2 linked regions of the Schizosaccharomyces pombe genome follow. The protein of the gene in region 2 purifies or fractionates together with the protein of the main gene of each other region. This does not show direct contact. Each region holds a gene or a part of one and is shown on either strand. Other genes may lie near its edges. The genes, in order: fal1 and mnh1.

What was found.
Region 1: the proteins of mnh1 (region 2) and fal1 purify together in Schizosaccharomyces pombe (affinity purification with western blotting, with the first as the bait; one study listed by BioGRID). This does not show direct contact.

The regions. Positions count from the first base shown.
Region 1 is NC_003424.3:270,220-274,124, reverse strand, and holds fal1 (ATP-dependent RNA helicase), read left to right. Parts: upstream 1-1,782; 5' UTR 1,783-1,801; coding exon 1,802-1,868; exon of another isoform or gene 1,869-1,934; coding exon 1,935-1,955; exon of another isoform or gene 1,956-2,008; coding exon 2,009-3,105; 3' UTR 3,106-3,232; downstream 3,233-3,905. Other genes in the region: PAK-like kinase Shk2, read right to left, coding at 1-973; phosphatidylinositol kinase-like protein Tra2, read right to left, coding at 3,378-3,905. UniProt on the Schizosaccharomyces pombe protein: ATP-dependent RNA helicase involved in 40S ribosomal subunit biogenesis. Required for the processing and cleavage of 35S pre-rRNA at sites A0, A1, and A2, leading to mature 18S rRNA.
Region 2 is NC_003423.3:4,000,809-4,004,529, forward strand, and holds mnh1 (protein mago nashi), read right to left. Parts: upstream 1,888-3,721; 5' UTR 1,846-1,887; coding exon 1,820-1,845; intron 1,774-1,819; coding exon 1,736-1,773; intron 1,684-1,735; coding exon 1,657-1,683; intron 1,585-1,656; coding exon 1,531-1,584; intron 1,480-1,530; coding exon 1,416-1,479; intron 1,374-1,415; coding exon 1,286-1,373; intron 1,217-1,285; coding exon 1,070-1,216; 3' UTR 721-1,069; downstream 1-720. Other genes in the region: DNA-directed RNA polymerase I complex subunit Rpa43, read right to left, coding at 1-48, 155-422; ESCRT II complex subunit Vps36, read left to right, coding at 2,504-3,721.

The sequences.
Region 1 (3,905 bases), on a different chromosome or scaffold from region 2:
AGTAAACAGATCCCGATGCACCCTGGCCAAGTTTATGCTTAACATTAAAATATTCGACAGGATCATGAGAAGTAACTGAGTCTTTTAACATGGCTAAAGCCTGTCTATCAGTCATTCTTCTACTCAACGTGTTCTTTGAATCTGCTTTGACCGGTACTTTGGTTACTTTTCCGGTCATGATAGATTCTACATGACTTTTGTCTTCAATAAAAGGCCTTATGATATGCTTTTTATCCGTCTGTATGGTTGTCTTCGGCTTGCATCTTTCAGTAATATTCATTTTAGTAACTCCAGATGTCGTGAGTTTATGATGTTTGTCAGCATCGCGAATAGAATACGATGTAGTAGAGGATCGTGGCAGTGTCTCTTTGCAAAATGAAAAACTATCTTTAGTTTCGCTTGTTGTATCCAACTGCTTACTATAAAAATCCAAAGCTTGAATAACTGCTTTCGGCTCCTCCATGCATTCTTGTTTGGTAATCGAACTACTCTGAAGTAGCAATATCCACTCCTTGGGTAATCCGACATAATTTCCTTCATTATCAATTCCCACATGCACTTGGTGTTTAGGATTCATCGGACTTGAAACTTTGCTAGCAAGCGCACGAGAAGATATTAAATCCATCCACTCATAACATTCCATATTATCGGCCACGGACAATTCACAAGCTTGAATCTCAAAATTTTTGGTACTACTTTTGAACCTCAATTTAAAGCAGAATGTCCTAGACTTTGAACGCTCTACTTTTTGAATATCCTTCAACAGCAACGTAACCTGAGCACTTTCAGACTTGCTTCCTTTATATATCGACAGAGAATTGCTAGAAAGTACTAGCCACTTTTTAGTCCAAGGGAGATACTTCATTTTATCTTCCTTCAGCATAACCCATCCTGATCGAATGATTCCCTTGCTTTTCTTTGTATCTTTGAGAGATGGAATTTCAACCGGCACGCCTCTTACACTTAAAAGCATTTTGAAAACGATGCAATAGTTTTGGTATACATGCTTCTTTTATACATTTTAGCTCAAATGTATAAACAAAGAAACCCCATTTATAAACAAAGAGAATGCAAAAAACAAAGAAATGTTATGAAAAGAGAAGTCAATTGACGTCAACAGTAGTGGATGAAAAGTAATTCTTAATTAATTAGATTAAGTCTTACAATTGCAATTTGCAATCTTATCGCAAGCGAACATGACATTGGTTACAAGATTCATGACAACGCTCACAAATGTAAACTGTGTATAGCATTTATAATATCTGAGAGTGATTTTAGGTAATTTTTAGCATGGAAATGTATAACTGAATTTATGCGAAGTGGTGGGCAATTCTGGTTAGGAAACATTAATTGATAATGGGTTTTGACTAGCCGATAATTTGCATGTTAGTGCTAGGAGAACTTAGATTGCTAAAACGGAAATTAGTATAACAATTCTAGGACGAATTGAAATGTTGTTTAGACTCTTAAGGGTGGTGTTCAACCATTGCTCCAGTTGTAGAAAATTAATGTAAGACTCTCATAATTTTTTCGTGTAATGTCTAATTCTAAGAAACCGCTAGTTTACTTTTTATACCATTATCTAACAAGTTGGGAGTACTGAAAATAAACAACATGTGAATAATAAGTTCATCTAAACTTCTTGTCAATATTTAATAAAGCTTTCCGTACAATTGAAATTTTTTAAAGGAATATTCTTTTATTTTTGTAACTAACCAAGCTTTCTATTTGCTTGTCAAATTTTCTCTCCTTCATTTTCCTCAAGTTGGGCTGACATAACATAACTACTACAACTTCCATTATGGCGGACGAAATAATGGAGAACGTGGAGCTTACGACATCGGAAGATGTGAATGCTGTATCCTCTTGTAAGTAAATTATATTTTTTTATAATATGAATACTTACTGTGAATGATGCTAACATTGTTTTGCAGTTGAGGAAATGAATCTTAAAGGTTAGTTAATGAATTGATAAAAATTTCCATAATTTTGTTCTAACAACATGCAGAGGATTTACTTCGTGGAATCTATGCGTATGGCTATGAGACTCCGAGTGCTGTGCAAAGCCGGGCGATTATTCAAATCTGTAAAGGGAGAGACGTTATCGCACAAGCTCAATCTGGTACAGGGAAAACAGCAACTTTTTCTATTGGTATTCTTCAGTCGATCGATTTATCAGTCCGAGATACTCAAGCTTTAATACTTTCTCCTACGAGAGAATTGGCAGTTCAAATCCAGAATGTTGTACTTGCATTGGGTGACCATATGAACGTTCAATGTCATGCTTGTATAGGCGGCACATCCGTTGGAAATGACATCAAAAAATTGGATTATGGACAACACGTTGTTTCTGGCACTCCTGGGCGCGTAACGGACATGATTCGTAGACGAAATTTGCGAACTCGCAATGTTAAGATGCTTATTCTTGATGAAGCGGATGAGCTCTTAAATCAAGGCTTTAAGGAACAAATTTATGACATTTATAGATATTTACCCCCTGGTACACAGGTGGTAGTTGTGAGTGCTACCTTGCCTCAAGACGTGTTAGAAATGACTAACAAGTTTACCACTAACCCTGTTCGAATATTGGTCAAGCGCGATGAACTTACTCTTGAAGGCTTAAAACAGTACTTTATAGCAGTTGAAAAAGAGGAATGGAAGTTTGATACTCTGTGTGATTTATATGATACTTTAACCATTACACAAGCTGTGATATTTTGCAATTCTCGTAGGAAGGTTGATTGGTTGACGGAGAAAATGCGAGAAGCTAACTTTACCGTTACCAGTATGCACGGTGAGATGCCGCAAAAAGAAAGAGACGCTATCATGCAAGATTTTCGACAAGGAAATAGTAGGGTTCTCATATGCACAGACATATGGGCAAGAGGAATTGATGTTCAGCAAGTTTCATTAGTGATCAATTACGATCTTCCTGCAAATCGAGAAAACTATATACATCGCATTGGTCGCAGTGGACGATTTGGTCGTAAAGGTGTAGCTATTAATTTTGTTACAAATGAAGATGTACGCATTCTTCGGGATATTGAACAATACTATTCTACTGTTATAGATGAAATGCCTATGAATATAGGAGATATGGTTTAAATTTTCCATTGGAAAAAAAAAGCTGGTTTTTTTTGGATTATTGTACAGATTTGGGGGAAAACTTTAAAATAATAACTGTATATTTAAATTAATTTCCATTTATGTTACCCAAAACTTTCTATGCGTATTTTTTTGGTGTCATTTAGATCATAATTTTTTGGTTGTAAGATCCTGCAAAAGAAAAGTATTAGCATTTTCTCCTAATAATAAATAATCTGAGCATTCGTAGCAATTCAATATTAGATGAAACCTCAAAACTGATTTGCAATTTGTTAAAGCCAAGCTTGCCAAAGTTGATCCATTTGCGCCAGCTGCTGAGGATTAGTTGCTTGAGATACTAAATCCACCAAAGTCTGATTCAGTGGAAGGTCCTCTGGTACATTATGAGATATGACCGATATTCGACGAAATAATAATTCAACATTTACTTTCACGGTTTCGAACAGCTGGATTCCCTGAGGAATTGGCTTTCTTTGCTGCTTGGACCACCAGAAAACTTCATCACGAACATAAAGACTTAGATACTGCTTTATATCAGTAGTAGGACTTGATAGACTTTGCGCAATGCTCATTACTAATCCCGAAAGTAATCCTTCAACTCCCAAATCAGAAATGAGGTATTGTATTGGAGGCGTTAATCTAAACGGAACAGCCTCAGTATTGTGAAATACAGGTTGGTTGGAAGTCATAGAAGGTAAAAGGTCTTGCGACATCACCTGGCCAGAATCCTTCACTATGAACAGCTTTTGAGGGGATCGACCTCCAATATTGAATACATAAGTCATAATAATCATGTAAGC
Region 2 (3,721 bases):
AAATTAATAGACCAATATGACTTGGACTGACTAAATTAATTTTTCCTTCTAGTGATAGTTAGCATTTATTTTGGAGTTGGTATAAAATTTTGCACGACTGAATTATCATGATACAAATCCATCATAGAATCTCGAATTTCTAAGCATTTCATACCTAAACAATCGCCTTTTTTGGGAGAAAATACTAAAACGTCTACACGGACCCATATAAAGGAGAATGGGGAGTCATACATGACCTTTGCACTTTTTTCCAGGAATCGAATATTGTCGTACGCCAACACTATTCCATTGATTCTTGGGAGTTTGCTAAGAATCATACTATCCATATGCTCCTGAATAGCATTTAAAGGATCCCTGCTGTGTCCAGGAGCAATGGAAAGGTATAAATCTACAGTCTGTTTGTAGAGTGATAAATCCGGCATGTTGGCGGAACGCAAATTTCCTTCATCGACTGCATCCAGTTTTACAGATATGTTCAAGGGTAAACAAAGCTCTTCAATTGATCAACCAAGGTCATATATAACATATCATGTCTTCGAGAAAGGTTAACAGCTAAATAGGCGATACTATGGCATCAATAGAAATGCCAATTCTGTAAATGACACCATGTCACTACAGTGCTCAAGACATTGAAATTTTTTTTTTAATTACAATAAGAAATACTTTACCTTTTTTTTCTCTTATTTAAATGAAGAATATTATTGAGACAAAATAAGTGAATCGCTCATTACTATACAAATAGTGTCTATTTAATATAGCTAAAATTATTTCAAGATTTTTTTGATATCTTATTGAAAAAAAGATTTTGTAACGCGACTACCATGGAATGGTTGCCATATTCTAAGATGTTCCCAAATAAATAGTCAATTCTTAACCGCTTATGATATGGAATTAAAAGTGCAATACGGTTAATTTAGCATAAAAACTGAAATTCCTTCCTAAAGCTCGAACGTTTTTCAGCTTTGAGACTGTACATTTAGAAACGAAACAAAGGTAATCAAACCCAAATAGTAAACCAATGTTTCACATAAAACTTTTTCGCCCTAATATATAAGAAAATGGAATGCATCTAGTTTTTAACAGGTCGGAGCTTAAAATTTAGGGAGATGAGACTAAAGCACAATGCTTTTAAATCTTGAATTAGGTAGTAGAAAACTTTTAGCCCTTCTGGATCATCACTATTTTGAACGTCTGCCAAACTTCCAAGTTTACAGGTCTAGTAGTTTATATTAGCTTAAAAGTATCTAGAATGAATATATTTATGCCAAATGAAGAGCAATCTTACTTCAAACATGATGTGTTTTCCATTCATACGAATTTCAAGTTCCTGCTTACCATCTTTATTTTCAGGTGGCCAACTTTCATCTGATTCTCTAAATAGTAGTTAGTATAAAAAATTGAAAGAAATGACTTGCTTTATGATCTCACTGTCATCTACAATACGTTGAACTTCTTTTAAAACAAGCTCACTGACGAACACTTTAAGGCTTTGTTAATACGATCGAACAGAAATGTAGTACTAAAACATACTCTCCTTTCGGATTAACGAATCGTTCCGATAGTTAGAATTGTTTGCGTATCTAGCTAATTGAATTAGTATTCATGTCAAACCACTGTTGCTAATATGAATCAGAAAATTGTTGACTCTATTCATACCTAGCCCATCACTATGATAATCGAATTCTAGCAAATGTTTGGTTAGCTGCGCGACCTTGCGTCTAATATTATCGCGTACCCAAGAACTCGTGTCCGAATCGACCATGGTGTCCCGAGCTTCAGTCAGTTAGCATTCAAAACTATTTACAGCTTTTTTGCATACTAGTATCGAACATAAAAATCACTCATTTTCGAGCAAATAGGAATATGATGGCTTCGATGACTACTGCTGAGAGGTAAACTCTTGGTCAAAGATACGAAGCATATAGTGATTCACTATTTTAAATAACACAATACACTAGTGCATCCAATTTTTGGAGCTCGACAATCAAAGTTCGTGGGTAATTCAATATACAGTGTATCTTTGATGAATTCGTTGACATTATATATTGACTGCTAAGTCTATATCTGTAAATCAAAGTCTTTTAATTCCTTAAAGGCTTTTTCCAAATTCAGGTTAAATCTTGACAAGTTATTTTTCTGGGACCTTTTAACGTTCCACGACTTATTTCACTGCATTTACAAAAGTTATTCTGGCACTGTTGCATCTTTTATCGCTAGTTTGTGATCCTTGGGTTGTTTTTTATTAAGACTACGGTTTGATTTTTTTATTGTAACATATTAAATCGAGCTTTTGACAGGCTTCATTTATGTTATTTATATATCGACATTCACAGCTGTCATCCAAAAATATTTTTTTTAAAGGTAGCTAAATAAAGCGAAAGTCGTACTCACAGATTATCTCAAATCAATTGTTGGTCTCGACTAGTTAACCAAGGCACATGACATGTTATATAAGTTTTAATTCACTTGACAATTATCATTTTGGTTAATCTCTCCTTCTAATATGGCCTTTTATTTAGAAACAACCCCTTCTAATCTACCGGTTTTGGATCCTTCAGAAGAAATTTTGCTAGTTCAAGACCAGGTAGGTTTATACTTCGGAGATGAGAAAAGTTTTCGTCATAATAATGGAACATTATATTTGACAAAAAAACACATCTTCTACGTAGATTCAGTAGATCCTAAAAAGAATTCATTAAAAATTAAAATCTCCGATATAAGAGATGTACAGCATACCTCTAGGTATTTTCGCTCCTCCCCAAAAATTCGCCTTTCTCTGCGACATGTGGAAAAGTCATGGGCTTGCAAAATTTGTACATTTATCAATGTGGGTGATCCCATTAATCCTTGTAGAAACTGTGGAGTTGCTAACCGATTTACTATTATAAAGCCGAAATCAGATGCGCGTTTTTCTCAAGGATTATGCACCGCGTGTACTTTTCAAAATTATCCGGATCTGAATACTTGTGAAATTTGCGGCAATCAATTAAAAAATGTCGATAGAAACCAGCTTATACAACTCTCGTTTAGAGGCTCGGGTTCATCCAAGTTTTACGAAGCTATCAAATCTGAAACAGATGAAATAGAAAAACAAAGATACTCGAATAAATATGATACTAAAGTTCTGAGGAAGGCCATCCTTGAAAAGTCTTTGCGAATGGGTGGTATTCATGATCTTGAGCAATCTCATGAGATGCAATTAGCCAAAAATGGACGTACCTTAGTACATGCGTTTCAAGATTTAGATGCTTTTTTTTCTTTAGCGAAAGATACTATGTCTCTGGCTGACCAATTTGCTGAAAAGATGGATGGGCTGACCGGCACTCAACAGTCTGACAAGGTACAGCAGCTTTTAAACAAATCGAATCAGTTAGGAGTGTTACGAGGAAATCATTTAGATAATGTTCCTGTTTCGGCTAATTCTCGATTGTATGATATTGAACTATGTAAAAGTATCTCAGAAGTTTTACGCACAAGGTTAAAAGCTGATACCGATACGGTTACCATGACCCAGGCTTGGGCCATCTATAATCGGTCAAGAAAAGCAAACCTGATTCCTCCGACCAGATTTGTGAAGGCTTGTGAACTAATAGATTCCATGGAGGTTGGTATAACAACGTCCAAAATGAACTCTGGGCTTATCCTTTTTCAATTAAAAACTTCTAATCATTCAGGAAAACTTTTGTCCGCTATATTGGAAGTTATGAATCCTAGCACTACG